Linked DNA regions of Mus musculus. The protein of the gene in region 6 interacts with the protein of the main gene of each other region in a pairwise test. Links are inferred from orthologs where the notes say so. Each region holds a gene or a part of one and is shown on either strand. Other genes may lie near its edges.

What was found.
Region 1: the proteins of Pstpip1 (region 6) and Cd2 interact in a two-hybrid assay, tested with the Homo sapiens proteins (2 studies listed by BioGRID and IntAct). The link is inferred for Mus musculus from reciprocal best matches to the Homo sapiens genes PSTPIP1 and CD2.
Region 2: the proteins of Pstpip1 (region 6) and Ptpn12 interact in binary tests that used the Homo sapiens proteins (3 or more experiments, as listed by UniProt). The link is inferred for Mus musculus from reciprocal best matches to the Homo sapiens genes PSTPIP1 and PTPN12.
Region 3: the proteins of Pstpip1 (region 6) and Ube2w interact in binary tests that used the Homo sapiens proteins (3 or more experiments, as listed by UniProt). The two-hybrid records come from large-scale screens. The link is inferred for Mus musculus from reciprocal best matches to the Homo sapiens genes PSTPIP1 and UBE2W.
Region 4: the proteins of Pstpip1 (region 6) and Tulp3 interact in binary tests that used the Homo sapiens proteins (3 or more experiments, as listed by UniProt). The two-hybrid records come from large-scale screens. The link is inferred for Mus musculus from reciprocal best matches to the Homo sapiens genes PSTPIP1 and TULP3.
Region 5: the proteins of Pstpip1 (region 6) and Pcdhb20 interact in binary tests that used the Homo sapiens proteins (3 or more experiments, as listed by UniProt). The two-hybrid records come from large-scale screens. The link is inferred for Mus musculus from reciprocal best matches to the Homo sapiens genes PSTPIP1 and PCDHB14.
Region 7: the proteins of Pstpip1 (region 6) and Lsm4 interact in binary tests that used the Homo sapiens proteins (3 or more experiments, as listed by UniProt). The two-hybrid records come from large-scale screens. The link is inferred for Mus musculus from reciprocal best matches to the Homo sapiens genes PSTPIP1 and LSM4.

The regions. Positions count from the first base shown.
Region 1 is NC_000069.6:101,275,408-101,277,939, reverse strand, and holds the end of Cd2 (T-cell surface antigen CD2 precursor), read left to right. Parts: intron 1-1,666; coding exon 1,667-1,983; 3' UTR 1,984-2,032; downstream 2,033-2,532. UniProt on the Homo sapiens protein: CD2 interacts with lymphocyte function-associated antigen CD58 (LFA-3) and CD48/BCM1 to mediate adhesion between T-cells and other cell types. CD2 is implicated in the triggering of T-cells, the cytoplasmic domain is implicated in the signaling function.
Region 2 is NC_000071.6:21,007,412-21,010,911, forward strand, and holds part of Ptpn12 (tyrosine-protein phosphatase non-receptor type 12), read right to left. Parts: intron 2,174-3,500; coding exon 2,031-2,173; intron 1-2,030. UniProt on the Homo sapiens protein: Dephosphorylates a range of proteins, and thereby regulates cellular signaling cascades. Dephosphorylates cellular tyrosine kinases, such as ERBB2 and PTK2B/PYK2, and thereby regulates signaling via ERBB2 and PTK2B/PYK2.
Region 3 is NC_000067.6:16,616,452-16,620,750, reverse strand, and holds the start of Ube2w (ubiquitin-conjugating enzyme E2 W), read left to right. Parts: upstream 1-1,499; coding exon 1,500-1,514; intron 1,515-4,299. UniProt on the Homo sapiens protein: Accepts ubiquitin from the E1 complex and catalyzes its covalent attachment to other proteins.
Region 4 is NC_000072.6:128,353,052-128,357,277, reverse strand, and holds the start of Tulp3 (tubby-related protein 3), read left to right. Parts: upstream 1-1,426; 5' UTR 1,427-1,499; coding exon 1,500-1,540; intron 1,541-4,226. UniProt on the Homo sapiens protein: Negative regulator of the Shh signaling transduction pathway: recruited to primary cilia via association with the IFT complex A (IFT-A) and is required for recruitment of G protein-coupled receptor GPR161 to cilia, a promoter of PKA-dependent basal repression machinery in Shh signaling.
Region 5 is NC_000084.6:37,503,027-37,507,063, forward strand, and holds the start of Pcdhb20 (protocadherin beta-14 precursor), read left to right. Parts: upstream 1-1,237; 5' UTR 1,238-1,396; coding exon 1,397-3,796; 3' UTR 3,797-4,037. UniProt on the Homo sapiens protein: Potential calcium-dependent cell-adhesion protein. May be involved in the establishment and maintenance of specific neuronal connections in the brain.
Region 6 is NC_000075.6:56,117,476-56,120,975, forward strand, and holds part of Pstpip1 (proline-serine-threonine phosphatase-interacting protein 1), read left to right. Parts: intron 1-1,001; exon of another isoform or gene 1,002-1,051; coding exon of another isoform or gene 1,052-1,128; intron 1,129-2,825; coding exon 2,826-2,860; intron 2,861-3,071; coding exon 3,072-3,178; intron 3,179-3,500. UniProt on the Homo sapiens protein: Involved in regulation of the actin cytoskeleton. May regulate WAS actin-bundling activity. Bridges the interaction between ABL1 and PTPN18 leading to ABL1 dephosphorylation.
Region 7 is NC_000074.6:70,672,099-70,676,030, forward strand, and holds the start of Lsm4 (U6 snRNA-associated Sm-like protein LSm4), read left to right. Parts: upstream 1-1,132; 5' UTR 1,133-1,356; coding exon 1,357-1,359; intron 1,360-3,932. UniProt on the Homo sapiens protein: Plays a role in pre-mRNA splicing as component of the U4/U6-U5 tri-snRNP complex that is involved in spliceosome assembly, and as component of the precatalytic spliceosome (spliceosome B complex).

The DNA.
Region 1 (2,532 bases), on a different chromosome or scaffold from region 6:
TGTTGCTGCCTGAGTCATTACTGAGGTGTAGCAATGGGCCTAACACATAGAACACGAGAGAAAGCACAGGAGGGGAAAAAAATGCCACAAACAGAAGAGCCAGCAGAGAGTCATGGGAGCGTGCCACTGTGCAAGAAGGACCACCTGCTGGTCTGTGTCTAGGACCCTGGATTAGGGTCAAAGTCTCACCTATACCCCTCCAAACACCTCAGGCACTTCTGGGGCACCGAACATGGCATAAAGGACATGTTCTGTCTTTTGGGTGTCTTTTTATGTATGTGCTTAGAGCACGCAGGTCCCTCAGGTGTCAAAGCCACCTTGTTTGCCTTTGAGGCTTTGTGTTCGTAGTGCATTTACAGTAGTTACAGTAGCCAGTGTATTACCTGGGGTCCATATGTCAGCCCCCTGGTGATGTGGAGACATGCTTTTCAAGACAAATGTTCTAAAAGGGTACAGGCAACCATTCATTTACCCCGCAGAGAAGCTCCCCCTGGCTCCTTGAGGAAGGCTAAGGCACAGGGAGTGGAATACCAAGAATGTGCCCTGAAGGAGCCCAGCAGTGGCTCCAGGCTTCTGCCAGCTGCCTGTTCCCACAGATTTTCTGTGTGGCTTAAAAACAGTGTAAGAAGATCGACACAGTCTCAGGCTTGTCTTCCTGGACAGAAGCCACACAAAGAAGAAAATCCCCAAGCGTGGGGAAAGGAACCATCTTTCCCACTGAAGCCCAAGAGCCGGGTCTTGCTTACGAATTTTGGAAGAGCTAGCCCATTTCTCAGGGCTAGATTGTCCCTTAGAGGGCACTCCAGTTTCCTTTCAGAATGTGGCTTGTGTGACAATCAAATTGAGCAAAAGGCAGACCTACTGTAGAGACTTCACAGAAGATGTATAGTCTCTGATGCCCTTCACGACCACTCAGACCTGGGTTCAGTGGGCTCGGGCCCTGAGGGTTGTTGCTTAGCAACCTTGCTGATTATCTCTAGGCAGCATCCAGCTACAACTCCCAGATGCAATACTCACTCCAACACTCTAGAGCCTTAAGTACAAAGCTCTCCACCCAGGTGTCTTCTTCCCTCATATTTTTGAGTTCTAAAGAGGCCTAGGTCTCAGGGTATCTATGGCCAACGTTTCTCTCTCCCCTGACACACCCAGAACTTGAAGAGGGTGGGAGTAACTTCCCTTTCCTCTTCACATCTCCTGAAGCCGCTGGTTTGATGCCTATCACATGAAGCGTGTTCAGTGGCCGCATCGTGGGGCTGGGGAGGCAGCTCCATTTCTAAAGTGCTTATTTTTCAAGCATGAGGACTGAAGTAGACTCCTCAGAACCCACATAAGACGGGCAAGGTGGTACTTGCAACCCCAGAGCAGTGGCAGGTGAATTCCCTGGGCCTAGCTGGGCTTCTTGATAAGTTGCAGGGCAAACAGAGACAGAGAGACAGTAAGAGAGAGCAAGAGAGAGAGAGAGAGAGAGAGAGAGAGAGAGAGAGAGAGAGAGAATTAATCTCAAAAAGAAGAAAAGGCGACAGTGCCTAAGAAATGGCATCAGAGGTTATCCCTTGGCACACACATACATGCTTATCTACATATGTACTCACACACACATTTGCACACCCGTGTTAAATTGTTCACTATTGTCAGAATGAGTTCTTAAAACGTCTTGCCATTATAGATGAAGAGCTGGAAATAAAAGCTTCCAGAACAAGCACTGTGGAAAGGGGCCCCAAGCCGCACTCAACCCCAGCCGCAGCAGCGCAGAATTCAGTGGCGCTCCAAGCTCCTCCTCCACCTGGCCATCACCTCCAGACACCTGGCCATCGTCCCTTGCCTCCAGGCCACCGTACCCGTGAGCACCAGCAGAAGAAGAGACCTCCTCCATCAGGCACACAGATTCACCAGCAGAAAGGCCCTCCTTTACCCAGACCCCGAGTTCAGCCAAAACCTCCCTGTGGGAGTGGAGATGGTGTTTCACTGCCGCCCCCTAATTAAGAAGGCAGAGTTCGTCATTTCCAATAAAAAGCTGTGTGGATTTATCTTCTTCAGGTGAGCATGCCCACTCTTCCGTCTAGTGTTTAATGGAAGTAGGACCCAAGTGCCTCCCGAGACTTGCAGGACAAAGTGGTGTCTTTTGATTCAGCTACACAGTCACTTGGTCTGGCCTCTGGAATCTGAGGCCTCTTCTTAGATCTGTCGCGGCAGAAACACAGAAACCACAAACATGTGCACATAAGGATGTTGGACAAGCAGCATAAAGGTTTCACCTTCCTCTCAGGTCCTCTACCCATGTGAGCTACCACATGACCGCTGGCTCATGTCCTACAGAGCTACCTGAGCAGAGGTTCGAGTCCCCCAGGTGCCCCAATGGACACTGGCCACTTCCCTTGAGCAGGGGTAAAATAAAAATTTAACCCTGCTTGTTTTAGAAAGGAGACCAGGGTCTGAGATAGGAAGCTGCAAACTGGGAAAGAGGCTGGTTGGGGTGACAATATCAAATCTGGTCCACTCGGGCCACTGGATTGATCTTAGGAGCCATCACCT
Region 2 (3,500 bases), on a different chromosome or scaffold from region 6:
ATTATGCACACTCATCCTCTGAAACTGTAAGCTAAGTCAACCCTTTCTTATTTAAATTTATTTTGGGTCATGATATTTTATGACAGCAATAGAAAAAACATACAATTCAAGTAGCAGCTATTTTTCCTGTGTTTAAAACCTAGCTTAGTTGTTTCCTTTGCTGTCTCCCTGGTTTTTGGGTTTTTGTTGGTTTGCTCCTTTAGGATTGTATTGTTGTTAATTCTCTTCGTCTTTGTGAGACATAGTCTCACTCTGCGGCCCAGGCTGGGCTCCGACAGTCGCTATGCAGTGAGATTATAGGCATGAGCCACTTTAGGGAGCCTTTGAATAATTTTACATTAAAACTAAGTTAGGTAAGGTGTTTCTTCCTTCTTTGGTATCCTAGGAATGGGGAGGTAAAAGTTCAAGGCTCACCTTGGCTATTAAGACCCCGCCTTTTAAAAAAAGAGTAGTGGTCATTCAAAGAAGCCACAGAACATTAACAAACCTTTCTGAAAAGTGTTTCAGAGCTCGTTAGTTCTATCATAAATAATACGGAGTTTACTGGAGTAGAAAGTCTGTCAGATGAGACAGGGAACAAAGAAGTCACAATATTTAAGGACATAAAAATCCTATAAATGTTTAGGCACACATTCTTAATTTCCCAGATATGAAAAAAAATTAAGGCTATCTTCCTTCCAACTGGAATGTTTCTTTGCTTTTCATTTAAAATATTTCATGGCTTATAAGTAGGAAAAATAATCAGACAATAAAAACAGGTCAATGAGCTCAGTTAAAAACACCTGCTCTTATTTAACACAACCTCTAACCTGCACTCGGAACACAAAATTAGTTACCCCTTCAAGAATGGCAGAATTTGAAGGCTGTGTTTACATGACTTCTTATGTCTCAACATGACTAAATTTGCAAAGACTAATTGGAACTTAGTATTACCTGGAAAGAGTGAAAACATTTTACAGAGCAGTTTAACAGAGATATAGCTAAACTTAAGCCTGTTAAGGGGCAGGTCATTACTTTGGGCAATGCTACACAGCACAATTTAATAAAGATGTCCAGTAAATGTATACCAACAGTTTATATTTAACTTACTACAAAAATGCTATGTCAGGTATCATAGCACACATCTATAATCCAAGCAGAAGAGTGGAGGCAAGGAAGATAGCCTTGGCTATTTAATAAGTCTGATACCAGCCTGGCCTACATAAGATGCAGTGATAAGCCTTCAATTCTCAAAAAAAAAAAAAAAAAAAGTGGGGAGATTAGAATATTTAACAATAAATATCACCCACCATAATTCCTTAAAAGGTGAAAAAAAAAAAAAAGAATGCTCGTTTCATGTTTGCTTAAGATTTCAGAAGTTTGTAAACTATAATTTCAGGGTATGACAACAATGGTACAGACATGGCAGCTTGCTCCTCGGGAACAAAATCCAGCACAGGATGTTTGTCACTTGGAAAACACCTTACAATCTACATCGTAAGAGCTATGAAATTCAGGTATATCTTACAAATGACATCTATGCTGTGTAACTAGCAATGAATTCTTTTAAACTCTCATGTTTAGTATGTGTCAGGTAAGGCTTTGTCTGTCCCCTCTCTTTCCTTCCCTTCTTTCTGCTAAGGGACAACATTATCGGGAGGTAGCCCTGAGCGGCTAAAGCTCACATCAGCCTCCTTGGTTTGGGGTTATAAGCGTGTCCCTACACCCAGCACTTCTCTGCAGACCACGGGATCTCAGATCAGTAAGGCCTTTATATCTATATACAGTTTTTAAAGTCTGAGACTTCATCACTCATGAAAATTTGCCTGACACTGATCATATGAGGAAATATGATGTTTTACAGCAACATTTAGACAGTCTATTAACCAGATTAGATTATATCAATTCACAGGGTCTTATTCTCAAACACACCATAACAGGGCTAGGAAAAGCTCAAGATATAATAAAACATCATATTAATGTAGAAATAAAACCTTATCTCACAAAACATAAACACTGTACTTCTCTACATTTAGAAAATTATTTTGTACCTGCAATGAATACAAATAGGCACATCTTCATGTTCTTGGTATTTCCTCATTAAGCTTATCATGTCCAGAATAGAATCAAATGACGAAGGAACATCATGGTCTGGCCAGTTCACGTAATGAAACTGATAGAGCCGACGGGATTCCTACATGAAAAGCAGAAATTCAGGGGCTGGAGAGATGACTCAGCAGTTAAGAGCACTGACTGTCCTTCCAAAGGTCCTGAGTTCAAATCCCAGCAACCACATGGTAGCTTACAACCATCCATAATGACATCTGATGCCCTCTACCGGTGTGTCTGAAGACACCTACAGTGTACTTACATATAAATAATAAATAAATATTAAAAAAAAGAAAAGCAGAAATTCAGTAATTAGAAGAATGTATTTACAAACTTGTAAGCTATGTATTCCACGTCTTTAAATTTTTTCCCCAATTTTAACCTTATAGTAAATATTGAAAGTGATAGCCCGCATAAATTAAACATCCAAAGATGCCTCAGTAACTCTAAAAACTATTTATTTTCATTTATGAGTCCACGGACATATGTATGCTGTGTGTGCCTCATGCCCCATGGTCAAAGAGAGTTTTAGATCTGAGTGGAATGTGAGTGGCTAGCCATCAGCGCTGTGCTAGAAACTAACCTGGGAGCTCTGCAAGGGCATTTAACCTTGGAGCAGTCTCCTTAGTCCCCTCAATAACTTTTAAGATTGATTATTCTAGATGTCAGTAGAAAGAACAGAGCTTGGGTTTCAGTTCCAATATGCAAGTTCTATATTTGTCAATTACTAAATAGGCAAATTATTTAACTTCTCAAATCCCTTTTATCTATGCAATACATACTTTTATAGTTAGAATAACTGATATATCTGATACACTTGTAGGAGTTAAGGTACTAACTAGAGATAAAATGTGCAACCTGAGTAAAAGAAATGACTCAACTAAAGGGCTATCATTAGTCCAGTCAGTGAGAAGAAAGACTGTGTGTCGCTTGCCAGACAGAAAGTAGGTAGCCTTACAATGAGCTGGGAAGAATGCTGTGACAAGACTGTACTGGATGATTGTGTGTGTCAACTTGACACAAGCTAGCATCAGAGAGGATGGAGCCTCAGTTGAGGAAATGCCTCCATGAGATTCAGCAGTAAGGCCTTTTCTCAGTGATCAATAGCTAGAGCCCAGCTCATGGTGGGTGATGCTATCTGTGGGTTGGTGGTCCTGGTTCTATAATAAGTCAGGTTGAGCAAGCCATGGGAAATAAGCCAGTAAGCAGGCCTCCCCCATGAACTCTCATGAGCACTTGCCTCCAGGTCCCTGCTCAGTCTGAGTTCCTATCCTGACCTCCTTCAGTACTCAACAGCAACATAGAAGTGTAAGCTGAGCAAACCTTTTCCTCCCCACGTTGTATTTGTTCATGGTGTTAAGTCAGAGCAATAGAAATCCTGACTAACACAGTGACCAAGACAGACTAATAAT
Region 3 (4,299 bases), on a different chromosome or scaffold from region 6:
AGCTGGTACATTACAGCCTGAGATCACAGGGACAAAGATCTCTGGAAGGCCTGGTGGAGACTCTTTCCTGTAAGCGTACCTCATCACTGGGCTATGTGGGCACTTTGTTCCATGTTGTGATGGTAACGACATACCTGAACTGATAGCGGATATGCTTCTGGTTGAGTCCTGTACTCCAAGTCATGCAAACCCCATGGAAAAGTTCCTCCATGGTGAAGAGAAACCGTCTTGAATATTACACCACAGAAAAACTGGCAGATTTAGACATCTTTTCCTCTCTTGAACACATTTCCTTACGGATGTTCTCAGAGGAACATCGTGCTCTAGCTTAAGTGTGAGAGTGATAACCTACATCACCATTATATTTATATTTTAGAGAAATGTCTAAAAATGAAGCCAAGTCAATAAAAATAAAGATTTAAACTTTCATCCGGGTAAAGTAAAAGCCTTCTACTCAACATGCCATCCTCTCTGATTCCTTTAGAGACAGGACATGAGGTGCAAGCTTTTGGCTTCCATTTTTCGTTTGGTATTTAAGTAAACGACATCTTTGGTTCCGGAGGAGCTTTAAAAATGTGACTTCTGATAAATGCTGGCAGAACTGGTGCATTCCTAGAATAAATTCTGTATGCTCAGCGATTTCTACTCAAGCTCACTCATAGGTCGTCTGATCATGCAACTGCCCACCACAGAATAGGGTGAAGAGAAATCTAGGCATGGCAGAAGGTTTAAGTATTAAGTATTAAGTATTAAATTACGTAAACTATATTCATTATATTGAGATTTCACGGCTAGAGTCAAATTGTTAATCAAAAGTAAGACTGATGTAACAACGACTCTTATGGTATACCTGGACTTTACAATTTAGAGGGTTAGGGAACTAGAAAATTGCACACAAAAGGGAACTCCATTATTCACCCTCCTTCCCTTTCCAGCACGTTTCAAATCCAATTGTTCTTGCTTTTAAGATCACTGCTCTCAGTTTTCATTCTGTCCTATAGGGAAACCTGTGACTCTCTGCCCCTCAAAGTAGAAGCTTCCTAGGTCTGCAAATACCAGAAAGCATCTCCAGGCGAAGTTGTATCTGCCTCAGGAGCGAAAACACGGTAGGTGTAAAAAAGACATATGAAGGGGGTGGGCTGTAAATCTTACACTTGTAGCTGGAAAAACAAAATGAGATCCCCTCCCTGCCAAATGCCCGGACAGCATTGTGACCTCGGCATAACGCTTCAGTCCGACCTGGAGCAGCGCCTCCGCCAGCACTGAGGGTGGGCCCGCGTATAAATTGGCTGGGATGCAAGGTACCTAGGGAGCCCGGCCTGGCCCCGCCCCGCCCCGCCCCGGGCACCCGCGCGCTAGCCAATCGGACACGCGGGCCCCTTCCCATCGGCGACTCCACCCCCGTGCCCGGGATGTTGGGCCCCCGCGGCGTGACGCGAGCACGGCGGCTCCGCCCCCTGCGTCTCGGGCCTCGCTGGCCTTGGGGGGATGGTTTCATCATGGCGTCAATGCAGGTGAGCGGAGCTGCTGCAGCGGGGAGGGCGAGGGGGCCATCGAGACGAGGTGAGCGTCTGCGCGGGGTCGGCGTCCGAGACCTCTGGGCCTGGCTCCGGGCGACCTTCCCTGACCTCGGGGCGTCGGGGGATCGCCTGGCGGCGAGCCGAGCGGGGGTGTCGGCCGGTGGCCGCGGACAGTAGCGGCCGCGAAGTTGTGGCATAAAGGCGGCTTAGGGGGAAGAAAGGGCGAAGTTCGTCGTGCGCTTCGCGGTGGGGGCTCCGCTCCGCGCCCCTACGCGAGGATGCCTGCCGCTCGGCTCCCTGGCCACCGCCGGGATGCTTTTCCCCTCGCGCTCCCCAGCGGGGTGGAAACAGCTGTGCCCGCCGCCGTCACCCGCGGTCGGGGCGGCCGGAGACCGGCAGAGCCCCTCGCCGAGGACGGCCGCCTGCCCACGGCGCTCCGCGGCCTCTGCCCGGCCTCCCACGCGCAGCCTCGGATCGCCGGACTCATGCTCGTTCTTCTCTGATCTTCATCCGGTGCCCGGTGGGTGCCTCCTTCTATCAGCCCGCACTCTGGGCATTCCCTGGCAGCCCACGTCTCTTCTTCGAAGCCGCCCTTCGTCCCTGTCCCCAGCGTCCTGTGCTACCACAACGTGCGAGCTCGTGGGCCTGCTCCTCGGCCTCGATAGAAACTCGCCCTCTTAAATTTTTTTTTCTTGCGATGCCCCACCCTTGCGGGATTGGTAAGGCCGTGGCTCCTTTGCCTTTCTTTCCCAGACCTTTAAAACCTTAGTTTGGTAGGAGACGCCTGTTAACCTGTGCTCTGTCAGACTTGAAGGTGTTTTTTGTAGCTTCCAACTTAATGTATTCCCCCCCCCCCTTGCAAATCCAATAAAAGAAAAAATTTTCAGGCAAAGATGGCAACCACAATTGTAGTTTCTAGAGATTGCATTATCTATAGCCGGCATTTAATTTGCAGATAGGGCTAGCGGTGTTAAAGCACATAGGAAGAGAGAGTAGAACTCTTGTAGCGTGTCAGCGGAACGCTTTTTGGAGTTTTAACATCATCCTCGAGTAACATCCGCATTTTCCTTAGAATTTTTGGTTTTTGTTTCTAGAAGAATAAGCAAGATCTCGTTGTTGGCGCTTCTCTGCTAGCAATGGTTTGCATTCTTACGCATTTCCCTCCTTCCCCTGTATCTTCCTTCAATCAGCTTTCCTTATGGTATTCTTTTTGCATTTGCTTGTACTTTTGGCCTTTCCTGCAGTAGCATTCTTAGGTGAAGAGGTGTCACGAAATGGTGCAGTGAAACAAGAACAATTTCAGGAAACGTTATACTTTACTAGTCTCCCCAGAGACGTTAGAGAAGTTTCATCATTTGAGGCCAAAAAAGGAACTGTGGAACATCAGTTGACAGCAGATGGGCTATATGATTGCTTTAAGATTTTTATCTGTATTAAGACATTATTTGTTACTAACACTTGACGGTGATCTGTCTTAAGATACAGGCATTATTTAAGACTAAAAATGAAGATTAAAATCCACACTGGGATTGTATCTGGCATGAGAGCTGGTTAGCTTTTATACTTAGTTTTTGGAAAAGGCAGATTTGTTTGTAAGAGATTGCTATTTTTGGAATTTACTTTGTCTTCAGCAGTGGGGGAAAGTGCTTTTTATGCCTGTTTCTATGCCTCAGGCAGTGCTGTGGAAGAGTAGCAGCGTCTTTCTTTTGTTGGATTAGAGTGGGAACGGATCCTTTCTGTTCTAAAGTTAAATCTTGACCTTTTATATGTATCTCTTTTAAAGTATCTGATCATTTTTCCTGGAAATAGTAGCATTTTGACACAGATTTATTTCTTATTTCTTAATTGTGTATGTTATCTCTGGGTGGGTATGTGGGTATGAAAGTACCTGTGTAGGCCACACCTGCTCTGGATCTGAGTTACAGGTGCTTGCCAGGTATTGGCTATGGGTGCTGGGAATCAAACCAGGGTCTTCTCAAGAGTAGTTCTTTCTCTTAACTTCTGAACTGGCTCTCAGCTCAATAGCAGAATCACTCTTTGGTGTGGTTTTCATTTGGTATCTTTGCTCAAAGTTTATTTCCTGACCATCTTTACAGCAGAAGTTAACTCTTTTCAAAATAACTTAACATAACACTATAAGTGATCAAATGTGTTCATTAATTCATCTTACCCTAGGGGATATTGTTTTTGCTAAAGAAAAGGTTACTTAAGCTGCTGTATTTTAAAAACATGCATACATATGTAATGTGGGGTTTGATTACTTGGTAACAATGAAATAATTTTTATATATAGTAAAACCAAGTAAGGAAAGTCTTCACTTCTAACTAGAGAATGTGGACTTTGAGATTATAATTACCTTTATGTTTTTGTTTTGGCTTTTCTGGAACTAGACCAGGCTGACCCTAAACTCTCAGGTCCACTTGCCTCTGCCTCCTGAGTGCTGGATGAGATTAAAGGTGTGCGCCACTACTGCCCAGCTTGCTTTTATGTGTTTTATCTTCATTCATTGAAACCGGTTCTTGCTGGGTAGCCTATGCTTACCTCACATTTGCGCTCTTCCTGCCTGGGTCTCCTGAGTCCTGGGCTTGCAGGTTGTTCCACTGTGTCTGACTTTGCTGTCATGCATCCTGCCAGTGCTTCTCAACTTTCTTCCATTCACACTAAGTACAGTAAGATAGATGACGATGTTGGCGGCTGGAAGAGCCCAGCCCGGAAGCTGGCTAGGAAGGTGAGGGATACAGGGTTTTGTTCTCATGCCCATGTGCTGTGGGGAAGCTGC
Region 4 (4,226 bases), on a different chromosome or scaffold from region 6:
AGTGTGAGGCTCAGCGACTGGAGAAAATCAAGAGAGAGCTCTGGTTTTTAATGGTTGACAGCCTTGGCTCAAAGGGTCCCAAGCCAGGCCTGTGTTGGTGAATACGATGGGGTCAGAGAGCTAGGGGACGGATGAGTACTTTAGGTTTGTGTTTTGAGATGTGTTTACAGTGGAAGAAATATGACGCTATCACATGTGGTGGAGAAATGGATTCCTATCAGTAACTTATCCTATGTGTACATAAAGTGGAAGCTCACACTCTAGTGTGGGTAGTGTGGATGTGCCTGTCTCAGTGGTCCTCTTACTCATTCAAATAGCATCTCTTTCAACCCTACTCATTTAGCACTAGCCCTTTCTAGACCAAGCAGAGCTTATGAGTGAAGATTTGTAGCACACACACACACACACACACAAAGGAGCAATCCAGAGTCCCACAGGGAGAGGGGCTAAGTGAGTGCAATGCTTTCCTAGCCTATGTGTGCAGGTATCATATTCCCTAGTTTTCAAAAATTAATTTCTGGGACCTGGAGAGGTGGCTCAGCAGTTATGAGCCCTGGATGCCCGGAGGCGCGAGTTCTATTCCCAGCACCCACATGGTGACTCACAACCATCTGTAACTCCAGTTCCGGGGTATCTGACAGCCTTGGGCACCAGGGATGCATATGATATGCAGACATACACATAGGTGAAACATACACATAATAGCCTAGGGCACGATGGCACATGCCTTTAATTCTAGCACTAGGGTGACAGAGGCAGTAGGATCTCAGAGTTCCAGACCAACCGAGGATAGTATAGTGAAATCCTGTCTCAAAATAAATACATTATTTTTTAAGTGAATTTTTGGATTCAACATCAGTGTGACTTTGGCCTTACTAATTAAGTTTATATGCTATAGTTCTGGTCATAAAGTCCTATAGGGACCAAAGCCACAAAGGCATTGATGGCTGGAGGCATGATTTACTGCAGAGAGGACAGCTTAGCTGCTACCCTCACTAAATAAGGACATTTGCTGAAGGTCCCCAGGTAGGGATCCCTCAGTCGGGCTTTGGGCAAAGGCTGGTTTGGGAGGCTGAAGGCCTCGGCTATCCCAGAGTCGGTGGTCAGATGCTGAGGCTTCAGGTGATAAAGAGTAGAAAACCCAAGGCAGCAGCCTGGATGTTCTCGGTGCCACAGAGGGGTGCTGGGGATCGCTCTGTGGGGGCCAGTCCCGGAGCGGTGGAATGGAGCAGCAGACTCTTCCGACCCAACCCCGGGGGGCTGCTCCCGGATCTAGCGCACGCGCCTTCGCCTCCCGGTGCCTCCCGCCCCCTGGAAACCCTCCAGCATCATGGCTAACGCCATTTGCCAGTGAGAGGGGAGCGTAGGGCACTGGACCAATGGGCGTCGGCGACAGTGCGGGGTGTGGTTGTCAGGGGCGGGGCCCGATCTCCTCCATCCTCTCCAGCCGGGCGGCGGCGTCTCGGGGTCTGGACGCTGATGCCACCGGTCGGGCGGGTATGGAGGCGGCGCGCTGCGCACCCGGACCCCGCGGGGACAGGTCAGGCGGCGGTGGGGCGGGCTGGGGTCTCCAGGGTGGGCGGGCAAGAGCGGAGGCCAAGATCGGGTCCCCAGCTGAGCAGGCGCTTTGCACACCCCGCGTCGCCAGAGCGCTCTCGCGTCTCTTTCCTGGAATTTACCCCGAACCTGCTCACCCTACTCCCCAAGGGCCTCCGATTCCCTCATTTGCAATGCGCTGTGCATCCCGTGCCGCCAGCACTCTTGAGCCGCTCCCCTGGAGTTTACCCTGGACCAGCTCGCCCTGCTCCCCTGGGGTCTCGATTCCCTTACTTGCAATGCGTTCGCCCTCCCCCATGTCTTTCACGAGTAGGATCAGAACTGAGCTGGAAGGAGGGCACTCTTGGGAGTCGACGCGGAAGGTCGCGAGTGATGGTTAATTGGTTCCAAGGCCGTTGCATTTGGCAGTCATTGCGGAATTCTGGAACGAGTCCGAGAGCTGAAAATGCAAAACTGTTCTTTTCTTCTTTCTTCCTTCCCCTGAGTTCTAGCAGTTCTTTCAATCAGGACTTAGTTTAGACTGATCCGTACTCTTGCTCGTGCCCCTGGCTTTTCTACCAATACCCCTCTTTTTGCCTGGTTCACATGGTGAGCTTGGAAAGACAAACGGGCTGCAATCTCAGCCTGTTCATTTCTTGTCAGCTAGGCTAACGAAAAGTTAATGGGGGGCCGTGTGAAATCACTGGCTCAAAACTTTGGCATGGTGTGAGGATTAAAATCAAACACGCCAACTACATTCTTCCTTTACCATTCCATTACCACAGCGATAAAGGCTTGGCGTGTTAGGATTTGGTCTGACGTTTAAACTGGTTTTTAACTGATCCGAAACCATATTTTACAAAGTTATAAAGACGGAATAGCGACCCCCCCACCCCCCGTGGGTCCCATCCAGACTAGGCTTCCCTGAAACTTAATAATAAGTTAATAAGGAGGACTTTGAACATTTGCCCCCTACCTCTGCCTCCCAAGGCGTCACCTGTTTTAATCTTTCATCAACTAAATTCTATAAACATGATAGCTGCTCTCTGAAATTTGTTTACAACTTCTCCATTTTGGGAACCGAAGATCCATTTACAAGGGTAAGGTCGGGGTAGGAAAGTTAGAATTCAGCGTGTATCCGGTTGAAATCAAATGATATCGCGTTCAGTTGAGGGATTTAGTTGTTAACGAAATGATTTTTAGAGAAGTAAATTTCTTAGGGATGTGATTTTATTTTTATTTTATTTTTTGAGATAGGTCTTATGAAGCAAGACTGAAACTCGATATTCAAACCAGGTTAGCCTCAAACTCATACAGACCCATCTGACTCTGCCTTCCATGACTCATGATTTTAGGGAACAAGGACTTGACTTTGAAACTGGGACCAGCTGGCAGGTTTTTGTTTTGTTTTGTTTTCATCTCCTGGACTTGAAGCTTTAAGCTTTAATGCCTCCTCCCCCACCTTTTCTTCCAAAGAAAGAAATCGACTCTTTAATTTCCAGTTGATTGACAGGAAAGGAGCCCGTGGGAGCCCCTAGTTTCTCCTGCCCTAGGAAGAGCATGCAGGTTTGTTGCTAAAAGCCAGTGACTGCCTTGCTTTTGGGGTAGTCATTAAGAGTGTTTTGAGAGAGACTTCGAGACTGACTTGACTGAAAGTCAGTATAATCCAGTGGTCCAGGCTAGCCACAAACTCAAAATCTTCCCTGCCTGAGCCTCCCAAGTGTCTCCTGTAGGCATGTATCACCAAACCTGGGTGGACTTGTGTGCTAGGTGTCTTCTCTCTCCCCCTCTCTCTTTGTCTCTCCCCCGCTCTCTCTTAAATTTGAAATTTTCTTTACATTCTGACCAGAGTTCTCCCTCCTCCTCTCCTCCTCCCAGTATTCCCCCCCCCCATCCACTCCTCCCTTTCTCTCCTCCCATGGATGCCAACCAGCCATGGCATATCGAGTTGCATTAAGACTAGGCACCTCCTCTACTTTTAAGGCTGGAGGAGGCATCCCAAGAGGAAGAAAGGATCCCTAAATCAGGTAACAAGAGTCAGACCCAGGGGGCTGGTGAGATGGCTCAGTGGTTAAGAGCACTGACTGCTCTTCTGAAGGTCCTGAGTTCAAATCCCAGCAACCACATGGTGGCTCACAACCATCCGTAACGAGATATGACTCCCTCTTCTGGTGTGTCTTTAGACAGCTACAGGGTACTCACATATAATAAATAAATAATAAAAAAATTAAAAAAAAAAGAGTCAGACCCAGCCCCTGCTCCCACTGTTAAGTAGACCAAGATACACAACTGTAACATGTGCAGCGAGCCTAGGTTGGTCCCGTGCAGGTTCCCTGGTTGGGGGTTCATTCTCTGTGAGCCCCTATGAACCTAGGTTAGTTGATTCTGTTGGTTTTCTTGTGGTGTTCTTGACCTCTCTGGCTTCTTCAATCCTTCCTCTCTTCCACAGGATCCCCTAAGCTCCACCTAATGTTTGGCTGTGGTCTCTGCATCTGTTTCCATCAGTTGCTAGGTGAAGCCTCTCTGATGGTGGTTATGCTAGGCACCTGTCTGCAAGTACAGCAAACAGAATGTCATTAACAGTTTCAGGGGTGATCTCTCTTTCATTGCCTGGGTCTCAAGCTGGACCAGTCATTGCTTGTCCATTCCCTCTCCCTCTGCTCCATCTTTACCCCTGCACAATCTACAGG
Region 5 (4,037 bases), on a different chromosome or scaffold from region 6:
ATCACTACTGAGGTAATGCCACATAAATTACTTGTTTTCTCTTAAAAGACTTTTAGTTAATTTTCTTCTGGTTGCTCTGCAAATGTCAGCTTACAAATTTCAGTGACTAAAACCTTTGGAGGCAACACTATAGATAAGGAGACAAAGGTACATACTTTCTCCAGGTCTATAGAGCGTGAGTGACAGAACCATGATTCAGTGTTCCTAAATATTATCCATTTCCTAGGGTGCAGTTACATGTCTCTTCAAGATGTTTCTGTTATTCTTTACCTCTGCAGTGTTATATCTTTAGTTACTAGCTAATCGATTTTTTATTCCCTTCAAGTTCCATAGAAAGATCATCTTACTGTGTCATATCCTCCCATATGCACATGAGCACATGTTTGTATGCATGTGTGTATATGTGTCTTCAGACACCGTGTCCCTACATACTCTCAGTGATGCATATGTGTATATGTGTCTTCAGACACGGTGTCCTTACATACTCTCAGTGACATGGAGCTCACTGTGTAGACCATACTCACCTTAAACTCTATAGGTCCCCCTACTTCTGCCTTTCAAGTGTTGGCATTGAAGGTTTGAGCCACTGCACCTTACTGTGTTTTTAATGTAAAAGCAAGGAATCCAATATTACCTTGTCTTAAGTTCACTACTAACAAAGAAGTAGTGTGTTGTGTAGTTTTCATGACTCATGAGTGTATGTTTGTGTGTAAGTGTAAATGGTAATGTAATTGGATAATGAACTCACCCCAACAAATATTTACCAAAGCGGTGGTAAATATTTGTAACTACTAAAGAATTGTCATGAAATAAATATTTTTTATTAATTTGGGGACACTTTATTGTATCTTTTTGAGCTGAACATTCAAAGCACTAATGATTTCATACAGAGTATGGTCTGTGTTTGGATTCCAATTCAAACAAACCAACAACACAAGACATTTTGTAGAAAAACGGGAAAGCTCAAACAGACTGAGTTATAAGCTATATGCAAAAAGTATTTCTACACATCTATTGTGGTAATGATTTGTAATTATATTTTAAAGGCTTTGATAATTATAAATAACAGATGAATATTTAGAAATAAATGCAATCTATGTGACATTTGCTTTTGAATATTCTAGATAGACATAAAATTTTAGGAGAAAAATATTAAATGAAAAAATTCACAGAGACACATGGTGGCGCTATAGGATAAGATGAAACTGCATAGCCAGCCCTGTGGGCTCCAGTATCTAAAGGACCAGAGAACAGACGATTCCATGAGAAGAGAGGTATTACAGGAGCTTCACCGGCAGAGCTGCCAAGGGACTTTCAATAGAAATATCGGACCTTTACCTGTAAAATTTGGGACTGGGTTTAAATTTTGGAGTAAAAGAAGTCACCTGAAGGAACCATGGGAAGGAGAAGGGCTCTCATCCTGCAGAAAAGGCAAGTCTTGGTTTTCTTTGTTTTCCTGGGATTGTCTCAGGCGAGTGCTGAATCTTTGCGCTATTCTGTAGCAGAGGAAACAGAAATTGGCTCTTTTGTGGCTAATCTGGCAAAGGATTTAGGACTGGGGGTTGCGGAGCTGTCCTCCAGGGAGGCCAGGGTAGTGTCAGATGATAATAAAAAGCATTTACTCCTTAATTTGCTGACTGGAGATATGCTCCTGAATGAGCGACTGGATCGTGAAGAGCTATGTGGCTCCACCCAGCCCTGTGTGCTGCCCTTTCAGGTGGTACTGGAAAACCCCTTACAGTTCTATCGAGCTGAGCTGCACGTCAGAGATATAAATGATCACTCCCCTACATTCCTAGACAAGGAAATAACTATTAAAATATCAGAAAGCACTACTATCGGAGCCACATTCTTAATTGAGAATGCACAAGATCTGGACATAGGAAGCAACAGTCTTCAGGACTACAGCATTAGCCCCAGTTCTTATTTCTATGTTAAAATTCATGACAGTGGCGATGGAAAGATATACCCGGAGCTGGTTCTGGACAAAGCTTTAGATCATGAGGAGGAATCTGAGCTTAGATTGACACTTACAGCATTAGATGGTGGGTCTCCACCCAGGTCTGGGACAACACTGATTGTCATAAAAGTCTTGGACATCAACGATAATGCTCCAGAGTTCGCTCAGAGTTTCTATGAGGTGCAGGTCCCAGAGGACATGCCTATTGGCTCCAGTATTACTGCCATCTCTGCTAAAGATTTAGATATGGGAATTTATGGGAAAATTTCATATTCATTTTTGCATGCATCAGAAGATATTAGAAAAACCTTTGAAATCAACCCAACATCTGGGGAAGTCAATTTGAGATCACTAATGGATTTTGAAGTAATACAGTCCTATTCTGTAAATATCCAAGCAACAGATGGTGGAGGTCTTTCTGCAAAATGCACTCTTTCGGTTAAAGTATTAGATATAAATGACAATGCACCAGAAGTGATCATGTCGTCGGTTACAAAGGCAATTCCAGAAAATGCTTCAGAGACCCTGGTCGCTCTATTCAGTGTCCGAGATCAAGACTCTGGAGACAACGGAAGGATCCTTTGCTCTATTCAGGATGACCTTCCATTTATTCTGAAACCAAGCTTCAAGAATTTTTTCACTCTACTTTCTGAAAAAGCACTAGACAGAGAAAGGAGAGCTGAGTACAACATCACCATCACTGCCTCCGACATGGGCACACCCAGGCTCACAACCCAGCACACCATAAGAGTACAGGTATCTGACATCAATGACAATGCCCCGGCCTTCACCCAAACCTCCTACACCATGTTCATCTACGAGAACAACAGCCCTGCCCTGCACATAGGCACCATCAGTGCCACAGACAAAGACTCAGGCTCCAATGCCCACATCACCTACTCGCTGCTACCGGCTCAGGACCCAGAGCTGGCCCTCGCCTCGCTCATCTCCATTAACGCTGACAACGGGCAGCTATTTGCGCTCAGGGCGCTGGACTATGAGGTCCTGCAGGCCTTCGAGTTCCAAGTGGGTGCGACAGACCGAGGCTCGCCCGCACTCAGCAGCCAGACTCTGGTGCGCGTGGTAGTGCTGGACGACAATGACAATGCGCCCTTCGTGCTCTACCCGATGCAGAACGCCTCTGCGCCTTGCACTGAGCTGCTGCCCAGGGTGGCAGAACCTGGCTACCTGGTCACCAAAGTAGTGGCTGTGGATCGCGACTCTGGCCAGAATGCCTGGCTGTCGTTCCAGCTGCTCAAGGCTACAGAGCCAGGGCTGTTCAGCGTGTGGGCGCACAATGGCGAGGTACGCACTACCAGGCTGCTGAGCGAGCGCGATGTGCCCAAGCACAGGCTGGTACTGCTAGTCAAGGACAATGGCGATCCTCCGCGCTCTGCCAGCGTCACGCTGCACGTGCTAGTGGTGGATGGCTTCTCTCAGCCCTACCTGCCTCTGCCAGAGGTGGCGCGCGACCCTGCACAAGAAGAAGATGTACTAACACTCTACCTGGTCATAGCCTTGGCATCTGTGTCTTCTCTCTTCCTCTTGTCTGTGCTGCTGTTTGTGGGGGTGAGGCTGTGCAGGAGGGCCAGGGCTGCCTCTCTGGGTGGCTGCTCTGTGCCTGAGGGACACTTTCCTGGCCATCTGGTGGACGTTACTGGCACTGGAACCCTGTCCCAGAACTACCAATATGAGGTGTGTTTCACAGGAGGTACTGGAACGAATGAGTTCAAATTCCTTAGGCCGGTCATGCCCAGTCTTCAGCTCCATGACCCTGATTCTAATATGCTGGAAAAGGAGAACTTTCGCAATAGCCTTGGTTTTAATATTCAATAAAATTTTCCTTTAAACTTAATATTTTCTATTAACAAATTGCAAATGCTTGTTTTACTTAATCTGTATTGAATTTAAGGTTTTACTGATGATGCATGCATTTTTGTTTCACGTGTTTTTCTCACAATTACTTTGAAAATCTTTACTGGGTTTATAGTGATGCAAAGAAACTATCTGCACGTTTTGTTTTGTTTATTTTGCCGAGGTGTTATGTTAACGGTTCTGCTGTTTCTTATATAAGACA
Region 6 (3,500 bases):
TTTGGTGCATTGTAAGGACAGGCTAGGTATTTCAGGAGCTGTCATGATACCGCACACACCATGATCAGCCTTCCTGTCTGGTCCTCTGCTTCTGCCCAGACCCTCACCTTGCTCAAGAAGTAGTCACCTCCTCCCACTCTTCTTCTTGCCACACCAGGAGGGATGCTGTGGGTGCCTTGGAGAACAGAGTGGACCTTGGCCAATGTCCTGTGAGCCCCTCTGTGGTTACAGATGAGCAACATTAGCCCATGGGCACCTTAAAGCCCACCTGACCTTCACCCCTCCTAAACACAAGTGCTGAGATGGTCCCATCAGAGGAGATTTCATGTGTTTTATGATCTCTGCTCCACTGAGATCAGGGTGAAGGCATGTCTCCTAGTGAGGAGCAGTTATACTGTGAAACTAGACTTCAGCTAGAGTTTCCAGGTCTCCTGAGAGCCAAGCTACAGACTAGCAGGTTGTGTTGCACGTTTGCACATTGGTGATAAATGCCGAAAGTCAGAATCATTCTAACCTGTGGTCACCTTCCTCTGCAAGGCTAGCCTTGACATTTTATCTTTTAGGATTTGCATTTGTATGTCTGCTGTGCGGATGTGTGCAGGGGCCCGTGGAGGCCAGTGGTGATGGCTAGGGCTGGGGTTACAGGGCTGCGAGCCATCTGATGTGGGTGCAAGAACCAAATGTGCTCTTAACCCCTGAGCCATCGATAAGTGCAGCCCTTGGCCTTGAGGTTTTGCCTCTTACCACCTGGATGGCTTTTGGCCTCAGTGACTCAGTTTCCTTATCTGTAAATGGCTTGTGGGCCCGAGGCGGAAACCATTCAGGCTATCCTCATCCTGAGTGTGTCAGCACTGGAAGGTTAGGACTAAGTGGTCAGCGGTTGGTCACTGGCAGAGGCCTGCACATCTGCATATCTCATGGCTCCCAGGCTGTTGCTACTGCTCCATGGTCTTGTCAGGCAAGACACCTGGCAGTAACTAGGACCCCATAATCCTCCTTAGGGCCTGGATCTCCAGGGGTCCTCTCAGGTTGCCACTCCTCCTTGGCCTCAATGTCCCCAACTGTTCAGAGAGAAGAGGAAGCCCCCATGGAACATATTCATCCTACCCCGGAAGGAAGCACAGGCAGGTGGGCTTCCCTTACAGTTCACCCAGGGAATTGGTTATGTGACAGGTGCCACATGACTATATTACCACCAGGGGGCGGAAGAGCGCCCTGCAGAGAGGCAGTGAAAGCTTGCAACAAGGGCGCTACTTAGCTCTCGATGCTGAGCGTGGAGCAGGCTGTGCCACCATGCGTTTGCTTTTGTGTCCTTAAGAGACGTAGTACCCCTAAGCCCAAGCTGGGAGCGCAGAGGCACATCTCCCTCACATGCACGGCCTGATGTCACTCAGCTGCCGGAGAGGCTCTGGGAAAGGACGGAAGCTGGTGTAGCCAGGCAGAGACTCCTCCTACCTGAAGTTAAGGATGCCGCTTCTGGGAAGGCGCCACTGGAAAACTCTTCCAAAGTGCAACTGGGGTTAGAGGAAGACCTAGTTCGGCTGCTGGTGCCTGGGGGATGTCCTGGGGACTGGCGGAGTTTGCATATGTGTGAGTGTGACAGGCATGTTAAGCTCCTGACTTGCGCCAGGCTTCAACGATGCCTTATAGTGAGTGGACTATCATTCTCAAAACCACTTTGTGCTGCTAACTGCTCACCATAGAAGGGAAGTCAAGGCAGAGGGCCAGGTGGCTTGCCCAGGGTCACACAGTGAATAAGTGGTAGAGCCTGGCCATCTGGCTACAGGGTGTGCTGCTTTTGTGTGTGGAGACCGGAGTAAGAGGCCACCGCAGATTTCCTAGGTTGGTTCCCACACACACTATCTGCCCCCTCCTCTGAATGGAGCACATGCCTCTCGAGGGCCCTGCTCCTGAGAGCTTGGACTCGCGCTCACAGTTTCCGTATTGGCCCCAGGACTCCGATACCCACCGATAAACAGCAGTGTGTGCTGGCCGAGCCGGCATCTCTGCTTGGCCCTCAGCGCTACCATGCTCTGGGGTGAACAAGGCTGCCGGAGAGAATCCAGGGCGCCCAGTGTGCTGTTCAAGTAAACTGAGCAGAGTGGGGATTTCTGTGGGAAGGGGGTGGGAGCAGTTGGGACAGAGTCTTTTTTTTTTTTTTTTTTTTTTTTGGTCGCTTATGATGACCTTAAACTTGTGGCCTGTCTGCCTCTGCTGCCCAGGTGTCACCCCCACTTGCCCAGGGGCTTCCACTTTACCTGGCAGCCTCTCCTGCTTGAGCACTGTTCTAGCTCCCATACAGCCTCCTCCTTCCCCTCCCCTTGGTACCCAGCCTGAAGCAGATGCCATAGCTGTCCCTGGCTCTGTCCCTGCCCACCTCCCAGCCTTTCCTTATGCCTTCCATGCCACCTGCTGGAAAGAGCTATAAAGACCTTCCCCTGCGTCAGATTCATCCAGGCAATATTGAGTATAACCAGGTGCCTGCATGGGCGGAAGTCTCATAGAGGCTGGGAGCTTCCTGTGGACACACCCCTCTTCTCTGGGCTGCAAAGACATGGGGAGTGAGAAAGTGGGGGACAGAACTGCCGTAGCAAGGAGGCTTTCCCACCACAGCAAGGTTCCACTGCTTTTTAATTTACAAAGAAAACTGTTTTCTAGAATGTCAGTTGGGGGTTACATGAATGATGACCATGGCCAAAGGTCCCTTGCATCCATAGTAGTCAATATGGCTTAGGGCCCTCCCTCCAAAATAAAACACCATGGGTCAGGCAGGACGCCAGGCTCCTGCAGCATGCTGTCTACTGACCTAGACTTCTGTTTTGCAGTTCCCTGAGGACCTCCTTTGACTCCCTGAAGCAGCGTAAGTTCCAACCATCCCCACATGGGCAGCAGGGCCATTAGGGTCTCCTGGAAGACCCTTAGCCCTTGTATGGGGTGACTAAGTTAGGAGCTATGTGCTTGGGCTGTGGTCCAGCTCTGTGCCAGGCTGAAAGGCTGATGGAAGATGTGAGGGTGGGAGGTAGGGTGAGGGAGACAGACTGGTCCAAGCAGAGGCCACGCTGTCACCCTAGAAACAGAGAATGTGGGCAGTGCACACATCCAGCTGGCCCTGGCCCTGCGTGAGGAGCTGCGGAGCCTGGAGGAGTTCCGAGAGAGACAGAAAGAGCAGCGGAAGAAGGTGAGGGGGTGGGGAGGGCGAAGGAGGGGAGGTGGGGGACCCCCCCAGAGGCCACCCACTCACTGTTCTGGGGGCCAGTTGGGAAGCATGGCTTGATGAAGGGGGGAGAGTGTGTGTATGTTCTAGCTTGCTTTCCTGTTGCTGTGATAAACCCCTGACTTGGGAAGAAAGGTTTATCTTCTCAGGTCACACTCCATCACTGAGTGAAGTTAGGGCAGGAACCTAGAGGCAGGAACTGGAGCAGAACCGAGAGAAGGAATGTTTCCTGGCTTTGCTCCCAGCTCATGTTCAGCCCCGGTTTTCTCACATAGCCCAGGTCTAC
Region 7 (3,932 bases), on a different chromosome or scaffold from region 6:
CCAAGAACTGGCCAATTCCAGACAAGTCCAGGCCTCAGAAGCTGCCCCACCACCTGGCCTGAGGCAAGGACAATGGGTAAGCAACAGTTTCCAGACCTCCCCAGTAAGTTTCCAGCCCCCGCAGCCCTGCCATGGAACGTCCATAGAGATGGACCTCACAGATTAACATAGAGGTCACCTGCCCCGGAATTTCCTAATGTGCTTTAAATCAAACCTCCAAGTTAACATGGGTGTCTATTTTGGTAATTCGAGACTCCAGCATGCTCAACTTCTGCATAATAAGACACTCTTTGAGTTTTCATACTATTTGAGTCCGGAATATCATTCTTTGGCACCCCTACTGGGCAAGCATGAGAACCTGAATTTGTAGCTCAAGAAGACACATTAAACCATGGTGGTGCACACCTGCAATCCCAGCACTCACTAGGATCTCTGGAAGGTCGATACCAGCCTGGTCTACATTGTGTGTTCAAGGCCAGCTAGGGATGTACAGAGAAACACTATGTTCCTCCCAAAATGATAATGATTTTTTTTAAAGCAAGGATTAAAGCTTGATGGCCCACAGTGGCCATCCAGCAGTGGAGAAGCCGAGTCGGGGTCTAATGCAAGTTCATGATCGGCTAGCTTCAGCTGCCACAGAAGCCCATCTCAAAACAGGAAAATCCCAGAGATTTGTTTTCACTTCCTGTCGCCAGGGAACGCCAGACCTGCCGTTCGTGTTCAAAGATTCTATTTGAGTTGGTAAAGACAAAGAGATCCATAAGGGCAAGAATGGAAGGCTAGAGCTGGGCAGTGGTGGCGCACGCCTTTAATCCCAGCACTTGGTGGGCAGAGGCAGGCGGATTTCTGAGTTCGAGGCCAGCCTGGTCTAGAGTGAGTTCCAGGAACAGCCAGAGCTACACAGAGAAGCAATGTCTCGAAAACAAAACAAAACAAAACAAAGAATGAAAGGCTAGGAGCGCAAAATAGGCACCGCGCGACTCGCATGCATTAGCCAGCTTCGCCCACAGTGTGGCGCCGAATTAGGCGCCGAACCAGATCCAGGAGAGCACCTCTGCGCAGGCGCCCTTTCCCAACATACACCCCGTAGTGGGCGTAACTTGTGCTGCGGCCTTTTGCGTCGTTCTAGTGTCGCACTTTACGGCTACCTCTCAATCCCACCGTAGAAATACGGTGAGGCCGTCCGTCTTGTTCCGTAGGTACCGCCCTAGCCCGTCCCGATTGGATAGATGTCCGTTGAGCTGCTCGCTGATTGGTCATAGTTTCTGCCAGTCTTTTTCAGTCTGGGGCGCGCGGTGGGCCGCCGGTGGGAGCGCGTGTGTCTGTGCCGCGGCGGAAGTTATCGCTGCAGGGAAGATGGTGAGGGCCGCGAGGCGGAGGGGCGCGCGCAGGGTCTTCGGGCTGCTGAGAGATGGGGGAAACTGAGGCCGGAGTGACCGGTGTCCCTCCAGGGCCCCAGACGGTCACCGTTGGGGATTTATCTCTTGATGGACACGGTTTTTGCGACCGGAAGAGGGACTATGATCGTTTCCGGGGCTTGTCACCGTCATTGATAGGAAAGCTGCGTTTCCGGGAAATGGGCGGGCTTAATGGCTCACGTGGGCTTCGTTGCCCTCTTGATGCTTATCTGGTGTCTGACCTCAGCTGCCCACGCCTTTGGCTGGAAATCCAGCTCAGAGAGCGGGTTGATTCTCTCCCTGGGACACACAGCATGTCTTGCTCAGGAAGAAAGGATTTTTTTTTTCTCCTAGTTTAGGCTCAGGCCTCCTCAGTTTGGGGACTCTTAGACCTGGCATAAACAAGTAAAGGAGGCCAGGTTTCCCCCTGCTCTGTCGAGGGGCGCGTTGGCCTAAGTGAGGAGAGCCACATATTCCCATCTCCCCAGTTCTTGATGGTAGGATATTTGGTTTGTTTTTTGGTTAGGCTTTCTGATCTGAACTGACATAATCCAGGCTAACCTCAAACTCCTGATCCTCTTGCTTCAGTCACTGGAGTATGGAAAGGACACGTGTATACTCCACATTTGAGTCAGGATGTGAGGCAGGGTCTCATATAGCCCAGGCTGCCTTTGAACTCCATTTGTATACATGCATCACTGTGAACTCCTGACCCTGCCTTTACTCCAGAATGACCCTGGGTTTTGTGGTGCAGGAACTCTAGGCCTAACACATGCTAGGTAAGCACTCCCCACTGGGTGTACCCTGAGCCTTCCTGAAGGGATGGCCAGGTGCGTCCAGGACTGGACACCCACCTCATGCAGGTGCGCACAGACACTCCCATATCTCTGCGGTCAGGCTGGTACAGGAGTGTCCCAGCTGAACATTCCTGAACTCAGAGCCCTAGACTTGGTTCTTTAGCTATCTCATCTACACACTGGATCCCAGAGAGTCTGGATGATGGCTGAGAAGGAATTTCCCTTCCTGGAACTGGCTCCTCTAATGGGAGGTGCTGGGACTGGATTCCAGAACGGGTGGCTATAACACCTGCAGCTGCTCTGTGTAAAGCTATGTCTCCTCCACTCAAAAGCCTGTGACTATCCCAGCTCCAGCCTCCCTGTCTGCCCTGGCCCATTTCACTCTGAGCTTTTTCTTCCTTCATTTTGGGGAGACATTCCTAATTACTTCTTTCATTCCTCTCTCCCACTGCACACACAGTAGGGGAGTGGGGGGTTGTGGTGGCCTGTCCCTACACCACACTTTTCTTACCTGTGGCACTGGACAGGATGCACCTGTGCTGGGTGTCCCCACCCCTGCGTGTTCAGCAAGTGTTTACTGCTCCTCCCTGCTGCAGCAGAGCCCACGCCCACACTGACCTTGTGTCTAGCCAGGGAGACTGATGCTAATCACCCATAATTAGAGAGCGGCTTCAGCTGCTGAGCTGGAAACAGGCTGGCAGCCTAGGGTGGCCATTAGGGTCCTGACCACAGGAGGGGACATGCTCAGCAGGATTGGGCAGAGAGTCTAGGGAAGGGCACCCTGGGTGGTGGCTGGGGCCCTGGCAGGAGGAACGAAAGTTGAGCAGTAAGGCTGGACCTTGCCATCGCTGCCTCCAGGCTGTGCTGGGCCATAGCAGTTCCGGAAGAGCTTTGTGTGCCTCTATTCTTGTTTAGCAATGTTTGCCCTTGAGCCCTTGCTGTGCCTTGTATTTGGGAGTTTGACTATTCTATTCCTTTATTGAAACAGGATCTCATGTAGCCCAGGTTAGCCTCACACTGTAGCCAAGGATAACCATGGCTCCAACTACCTGGAGCTTAGCCATAGGATGCTATACTGTGGCTCTTTTCTGCTGTTTATTTGAGGATCAGGGTGGACACCATTGTCACTGATCACCAAGGCCACCCACCCACCCACCAGCCATTTTCACAAAAGTCATCCTCTGCCTCCTACCCTTCCAGGAAGCCTCTGCAGGAAGTGGGCTAGAGCTTCACTTCCCTGCCACTAACTCCTCCCCGCCCCTCAGCTCTTCTTGGGAAGGGCCTTGTACTGTAGGCTCCCCCAGTCCTCTCATGACCCAAAGTCCCCATGCTGGGCATGATGGCCCTGAGGATCTGGGGCTCTTGTTGTTTGTTTCTTCTGTTTTTAAAATGATTTATTTTTATTTCATGTGTTTTGCCTGCATGCATGTGTCTGTGAGTGTGTTGGATCCCCCTGGAACAGGAGTTATAGATGTGTGAGCTACCATGTGGGTGCTGGGAATTGAACCCAGGTCATCCAGAAGAGCAGCCTGTGCTCTCACCTGCTGAGCCATGTCTCCAGCCCCTCGTGTAGTTGTTTGTTTGTTTCACTGTGTAACCCAGTTGGCCTGGAACTTATAGATAATTCACCTGCCTCTGCCTCTCAGTGCAGGGATTGAATGTGTGCACTGCATGCTTGGCTGTAATTTGATTTTTGTGTATTTTGAAGACAGGTCTAATGTAGTCCAGGCTGATCTCA